Mus musculus: one gene and its partner. The protein of the gene in region 1 purifies or fractionates together with the protein of each later gene. This does not show direct contact. Links are inferred from orthologs where the notes say so. Each region holds a gene or a part of one and is shown in the gene's direction. Other genes may lie near its edges.

The links. Proteins that work in one complex are often made in the same cells at the same time.
Region 2: the proteins of Kcna5 (region 1) and Kcnab2 purify together in Homo sapiens (co-immunoprecipitation; 3 studies listed by BioGRID and IntAct, counting the BioPlex papers as one, with this or other methods). This does not show direct contact. The link is inferred for Mus musculus from reciprocal best matches to the Homo sapiens genes KCNA5 and KCNAB2.

What each region holds. Positions count from the first base shown.
Region 1 is NC_000072.6:126,532,756-126,536,919, reverse strand, and holds the start of Kcna5 (potassium voltage-gated channel subfamily A member 5), read left to right. Parts: upstream 1-1,364; 5' UTR 1,365-1,756; coding exon 1,757-3,565; 3' UTR 3,566-4,164. UniProt on the Homo sapiens protein: Voltage-gated potassium channel that mediates transmembrane potassium transport in excitable membranes. Forms tetrameric potassium-selective channels through which potassium ions pass in accordance with their electrochemical gradient.
Region 2 is NC_000070.6:152,393,550-152,396,855, reverse strand, and holds part of Kcnab2 (voltage-gated potassium channel subunit beta-2), read left to right. Parts: intron 1-14; coding exon 15-100; intron 101-1,610; coding exon 1,611-1,731; intron 1,732-1,832; coding exon 1,833-1,927; intron 1,928-2,445; coding exon 2,446-2,566; intron 2,567-3,025; coding exon 3,026-3,114; intron 3,115-3,306.

The sequences.
Region 1 (4,164 bases):
AAAACAAAAAACATCTGGAGGAAGCTGTATCTAGAATTGGCTGACAGACCTTGAAAAATCCTCCCCTTGGCTTTTGGAGACCACAACAGCCTCAGAGACTAAAGACAAGGGCAGAGTGTAGAGAGGGACCCTGGCATCCCAGCCTAGAACCCAATCTTTATCTTACTCATTCTTCTGCCTCCTGCAATGGAAGAAGGGCCTCAGGCCAGATGTGGGGAGGGGAGAAAGAAGCGAGCTCCCTAAACCCAGCAACTTGGGTTTGAATTGCAGCGTTGATACTTTCTAGTTCTGTGGCCTCCATATACAATGTAGTCAAGTTCTGTGGCCTCCATATACAATGTAGTCAATCTATCTGTGCCTGAGTTTCTTTGTATGTTGAAGGTAGTCCTAGTACTTACAAAGTAAGCTGATGCAAAAACACACAAGTCCAGAATGATCTGGACATACTAGCAATAAATAAGTCCCTCTGCCTCCTCTTTACACAGGTTTCTATGCAGTCGCTAGCTTAGAGCTTTCCCGTGCACAATTATTCTCCACCAGGATTTATTCTCTTTTCTCACTGTGCATTTTACAAAAAGAGGATTAGGTGAGGAGGCTGGAGGGATGGCGAAGAATGCAGAGGCAGGAGACCAGACAGCTTCTCTCTCAGTTGAGACTCCTCCTGGCTCCATACTAGCAGATCAAATCACCAATGTCTGGATGATGAAAAGCAGGCTTAAGGGGGTGCTGTGAGGTCTCAGTCTCATACCTTCCAATGGATCTGTAGATAGACTGGAAGAGTTCCAGAGTACACACACACACACACACACACACACACACACACACACACACACACAGCTCGCTGCTCCCCTGCAGTGTCATTTTTCCCAAAGAGAGAGGCTGTTAATCTATAAAGCATTGGTTTTGCAACCTGTGGTTCACAATCCTTTTGGCAAACCTCTATTTCCAATAATATTTACATTACACTTCAGTAACAAATTCCATTTATGTTATGATAACAATAGTAAAATCACAGTTATGAAGTAGCAACAAAAATAAATTTACCGTTGTGGGGTTCACCACAACATGAGGAACAGTGTTAAAGGTTGCAGCAGCATTAGCAAGGTTGAGAAGCACTGCTCTAAAAGAAAAACACCCAGAGCACTCTCTTCTCCACTCACTGGAACTCAGCTACAAGCCTTCCCCTTGCATCTAAAGCAGTTCCCACCCCCTGGAGTCCCCTTTCCGCTTTCTGTGCATTCCCAGGTGATCTGAGATCCTGAAGCTATTCTCATCCTGTTGCCCTGGGAGTTTTCAGCGCTCCTGGTACAACCTGTTCCTCGCTCCTCAGGCTCTTTTCCTCCTCCCCTTCCTGTCCTTGCTGCTGGGGCCCCAGCTGAACCCTCCAGAGAGACACTCTCTGACTCCGTCCCCAGAGGAGAAACAGGAGGGGGAGGAGGAGAGGAGGGAGCCACAGAGGGCGGAGGCCGGGGAGCTCAGCCAGAGAGGGGCTGCTGGAGGTTGCATCTGCTGGAAGGAGGTTTTTCTGCTGCCTGGTAACCAGCTGCCAGAACACTGAGAGGGAGAGAGAGAGGCAGGGAGCAGGGGCAGCAGCTTCTTGACGTCAGGACCAGCCAAGGGGATCCAGCCAGCTACCCCAGCCAGCCTAGAGCCAGCGGGGGCCCTCGGCTGAAGAGGAAACCGCGAGGCGCGGAGCGTGAGTTGGGGTGTGGGAACCGGTTGTCTGGGGGCGCAGCATGCCCCTTGCCCCCGGGCCATGGAGATCTCCCTGGTGCCCATGGAGAACGGCAGTGCCATGACCCTCAGAGGAGGAGGGGAGGCAGGGGCAAGCTGTGTGCAGAGCCCCAGGGGAGAGTGTGGGTGCCCTCCGACGGCTGGACTCAATAATCAGTCCAAAGAAACATCACCGAGGAGGCGCGCCACACACGAGGATGCGGGCCAGGGTGGGAGGCCTTTGCCCCCTATGCCTCAGGAGCTGCCACAGCCTAGAAGGCCATCTGCTGAGGATGAGGAGGGAGAAGGCGACCCTGGCCTGGGCACAGTGGAGGAGGACCAGGCTCCTCAGGACTCAGGATCACTCCATCACCAGCGGGTCCTCATAAACATCTCGGGTTTGCGCTTTGAGACGCAGCTGGGCACCCTGGCGCAGTTTCCCAACACCCTCCTGGGGGACCCAGTCAAACGCCTGCGCTACTTCGATCCCTTGAGAAATGAGTACTTCTTCGACCGCAACCGGCCTAGCTTCGATGGCATTTTGTACTACTACCAGTCTGGGGGCCGCCTGCGCAGGCCGGTCAATGTCTCCCTGGATGTGTTTGCAGATGAGATCCGCTTTTACCAGCTGGGGGACGAGGCCATGGAGCGCTTCCGGGAGGATGAAGGCTTCATCAAGGAAGAGGAGAAGCCCCTGCCCCGCAATGAGTTCCAGCGCCAGGTGTGGCTTATCTTCGAATACCCAGAAAGCTCTGGGTCAGCAAGAGCCATTGCCATCGTGTCGGTCTTGGTCATTCTCATCTCTATCATCACCTTCTGCTTGGAGACTCTGCCTGAGTTCAGGGATGAACGGGAGCTGTTACGCCACCCCCCAGTGCCGCCGCAGCCCCCAGCCCCTGCCCCAGGGGCAAATGGCAGTGGCTCTGGTGTCCTTTCCTCTGGCCCCACAGTGGCTCCGCTCCTGCCTAGGACACTGGCTGACCCATTCTTCATCGTGGAGACCACATGTGTGATCTGGTTCACTTTTGAGCTGCTTGTGCGTTTCTTTGCTTGCCCCAGCAAGGCAGAATTCTCTCGGAATATTATGAACATCATTGATATTGTGGCCATCTTCCCCTACTTTATCACCCTGGGCACCGAGCTGGCAGAGCAACAACCAGGGGGTGGTGGTCAGAATGGGCAGCAGGCCATGTCCCTAGCCATCCTCAGGGTGATCCGCCTGGTCCGGGTGTTCCGAATCTTCAAGCTCTCCCGCCACTCCAAGGGACTGCAGATCCTGGGTAAGACCTTACAGGCGTCCATGCGGGAGCTCGGGCTGCTCATCTTCTTCCTCTTCATCGGAGTCATCCTCTTCTCCAGCGCTGTCTACTTCGCAGAGGCAGACAATCAGGGGTCGCACTTCTCCAGTATCCCGGATGCATTCTGGTGGGCAGTAGTCACTATGACCACTGTAGGCTACGGGGACATGAGGCCCATCACTGTAGGGGGCAAGATTGTGGGCTCACTGTGCGCCATAGCTGGGGTCCTCACCATTGCTCTGCCTGTGCCCGTCATCGTCTCCAATTTTAATTACTTCTATCATCGGGAGACAGACCACGAGGAGCAGGCTGCCCTGAAGGAAGAGCAAGGCATCCAGAGGCGGGAGTCTGGGCTGGACACAGGAGGTCAACGGAAGGTCAGCTGCAGCAAGGCCTCCTTCTGCAAGACTGGGGGACCCCTGGAGAGTACTGACAGTATCAGAAGGGGTAGCTGTCCTCTAGAAAAGTGTCACCTAAAGGCCAAGAGCAACGTGGACCTGCGAAGGTCTCTGTATGCCCTCTGTCTGGACACTAGCCGGGAAACAGATTTGTAAAGAGAGATCAAGGCAGACTTGCAACAGCAGAGCTGGGAACCGGTTCCTCTTGAGCTTGCTTATCTGCTTTACACCATAGAGTATTTAAGCCCACCTGGTCACCCATCAAAGTCCGGATCCTGTCTTTCCCCGTTTACCCTTCCCACCCTCCTGCCCTCTAACTTCCCCATCCCCCCCCCTTTCCATAACACCAAGGGTCACCTATTTTTAAAAAGTATCGCATTCCATGACGCAGGAGCCGTTGAAGTGGTGAGCATTCACTGTAAGATGGATGTATTCATAGCCAGTTTTCTATACCCAGCAGAGGGATAACTCAAACAAAATTGACTTTAAATAGCTCAGATCCCAAGAGAGTCCATAGCCCTCTCTATTCCTGTGTTCCAAATTTACTTTACACGTGATTATATTTGTATATGGCAAATATTATTCTTATGGCTGACGAGTGCATTTTGTACAGCAGTGCACATGAAGAATATTTGGGTGTGTTCTTAAGATGTACTTTGAATTATGAAGTCTTGGGGGGGGTCATCATTTCCTGGGACAACCCAGGGGCAGAGACACTAAAGAAGTTGTTCAAGTTTGTGTTCCCAAGCCTCCCA
Region 2 (3,306 bases), on another chromosome or scaffold:
TTTCTCTCTCTCAGAGACCGTGCGGGCCATGACCCATGTCATCAACCAGGGGATGGCCATGTACTGGGGCACATCACGCTGGAGCTCCATGGAGATCATGGTAGGGTGACGCCCGTGTGTCCGCAGGCATGGGGTTTTTGTTTTGTGTTTTTGTTTTTGTTTTTGTTTTTTTTGTGGGAGGAGAAACCAAGACTTAGGTACGTGTGCTTGGCGAGGGTGTGATTGGCATAGCCATGGGTCTCAACCTGACTCAACATGGCCCTGCATGGATGGCTTACCCTCATGGCCTGCTCTGAGGCTTCTGGGGAAAACCTATAGGAAGCTTTAAGTGTGATCTTAGAGCCTAAGCAAGCCTCGGCACCTATGCTCATTGCCACGTGGTAGGCTGTTCTGTGGGATTTGAGATTTAACCTCTACAGTGCCACAGGAGGTAAATGCTGATGTTGCCCCATGTCTCAAATGGGGAGGTCAGGGATGGGGGTGAAGTCCCATGCTTTAGGTTACATTGCCTTACTTCAAGGCTGATACCTAGATAATGCCGGACAGATCCTGGGCTGTCTTGGAAAATGACCAACCCAGCTGCTAGGATCCAAATTTCTGTTAATCCGTGGTTTCTCCCTTCATCCTTATTCTCAACAAAGCACCCCAGTAATTGTCCTTCTCTCCCATGGGAGCCGTCAGAGGCTACAGCAACCTGTGTCCCTGGGTATTCTGTGGTTCCCAGGAAGAGTCAGCAGGATGTCCCTGCTGACAGTGACACTGAAGGGAGTGCCCAGATGATGAGGCTGCCTGAGGGCAGAGGGGTCGTAGAGACTCTTTCCTGACTACCCCGCCTCCCTACCCACACCTCCACTCCTCATCTGGCCTCACCCCACCCATGCCCGGTGTCCCAGCATTCCATAGCTGTAGCTACAGTGAATCACAGGTCCCTGCTTCATCCTGTGTTGGCAAGAAGTACAAGGGTGGGTGGGGTTAGGCTGTTTCAAATCCTGGGGGACTTGAGAAGACCCTGGCATAAGTCAGCTTTTGAGTACACTCCAGAGCCTTTGTCGGGCATCTTGCTCTGACTGCCCACAGCCAGGACTCAGAAAAATCTGAGTGTCGCTATCCCATTTTATAAATGAGGAAGCTGAGTCTCAGACCAAAGTGGGACAGCTCCTCCCTAAGTGGCAAGCGTGTCCCCTGCCATACAACTGTCTACACACAGTAGCGAGCTCACCTCATCCATGGAATTTAAGGGAGCACCTCCAAGCCAAGACCCCAAGCTCCTGATCCCAGGGTTAGCAGACAGAGCTGCTGCCTCCTGAGGGAGCACTACCTTTGAGGTCAGGGCCACAGGGCAACAGGCATGCTGTGCGGAGTGCCAGTAATGAGCCAGGCCCAATTAGAAGAGCTACAGGCACCTTGACTCATTGGAACCGTATGACAAATGGGGAAACTGAGGTACCGTTGATCCCATTTGCCTCGGCCCTTTAAGTCTTAGGATTCCAAAGCCCACCCTCTGGGCTCTCAGGAAAGCTGGGGGGTGGGGTGGGGATGGGGATAGAGAGAGCAGTAAGGTCCCTGGGGCTGCAGGTGGCTGATGGCAATGGTCTGCTTCCGCACCTCAGGAGGCCTACTCGGTGGCTCGGCAGTTCAACCTGATCCCGCCCATCTGCGAGCAAGCGGAATATCACATGTTCCAGAGGGAGAAGGTGGAGGTCCAGCTGCCAGAGCTGTTCCACAAGATAGGTGGGTACTGTCCTACCTTGCCGTCAGCCACTCTTCTCCTCCCCTCAGGACCAGCTTGACCTCACCTGCTCTCTCTCTCTCTCTCTCTTGCACCCTCTCAGGAGTAGGTGCCATGACCTGGTCCCCTCTGGCGTGCGGCATCGTCTCAGGGAAGTATGACAGCGGGATCCCACCCTACTCCAGAGCCTCCCTGAAGGTGAGCACAGCTGTGGGGGGAGGGGTGCCTTTGGCATAAGAATGAGGATACAGGCCTTTCTCCCACCCGTGGGGTGGGGCTAGCCCCGGGTAAGCAGGCCCACGAACCACTCCCCTACCATGGCTCAGTATTCACAGTACAAGCTGGTCTACTAGTGTATGATATGTTCCTTACCCATGATTGACCCACGCTCCCATCTTGGATACCCCAGACAAAGCTTAAGAGTTGGCCCAAAGTCCAACCCCATCCCTGTGAGAGAACACCCAGGAAGAATGAGAATGTTCATATGCGGGAGACAAGAGCCTTGAGGGCAAACGGTGGGCAGCCTGTGCTTCTGGCTCAGGGTCAGGTCAATCCACCACCATCCTTCTCCTTCATGATATGAAAGAGTCTAAGTCTGGCCCAGGGCCAAGCATGAGGCCAGGGGACAAAAGAGCCCAGGAAGGAATCTCTAGAGGAAGAGTACCTGCATCGAGAGGTCCAGGGACCTTCCCTTACCTGGGCTTTCCCCTTCCCAGGGCTACCAGTGGTTGAAGGACAAGATCCTGAGTGAGGAGGGTCGCCGCCAGCAGGCCAAGCTGAAGGAACTGCAGGCCATTGCCGAACGCCTGGGCTGCACCCTACCCCAGCTGGCCATAGGTAAATGGGCTCTGGGTACAATAGCGAGACACTTGCTCCTGGGGTCCCTGAGGGCCTGAGCTATACCTCCCCCACCCCAAGATGTCTTTAGGTAGTTGTCTAGCTACACTGTGGAAAGGGGCCCTGGAGAGAACCCCCATGATGGCCAGGGTAAGGACTCTCAGGGGCAGAGGTGGACTCTGTCTCTTTAAGAGCCTAGGCCACCAGCCTAGAGCTTCAGGCAGCTAGCCAGGGGTCATGGAGGATAGAAGGGATCTTTAAACACTTGGGCCACCTCTCCAGCAGAGACAGTGTGGCCAGAACCTCTTCTAGCCCCATGGGCAAACTCTCCCAGTACTACTGAGCGTCCCAAGCCCCCTCGGGCCCCAGACAAGAGCTCCACTACCTTTGCCCAGGCACGCTCAGGCAGGCAGGCCCTGCAGAGGGTTCCGCCCTCACCTCTGGTCTCGCTGCCCACAGCCTGGTGCCTGAGGAATGAGGGTGTCAGCTCCGTGCTTCTGGGTGCTTCCAATGCAGAACAACTTATGGAGAACATTGGAGCAATACAGGTGAGATGCGGGGGCCCCGGTGGTGGGCTCAGGTATCCCCAGCCTTCCTGGAGACACAGCTTCACTGGACACCTTTCCGGGAGTATAAGCTGTACAGGGATCGCAATTGAGCCCTGCTTCTTGCAGAGCTGGTCCTCACAGAATCAGACACAAATGTTTCGAGTGGGTGTGTTGAGAGAGCCACCTCCGTGA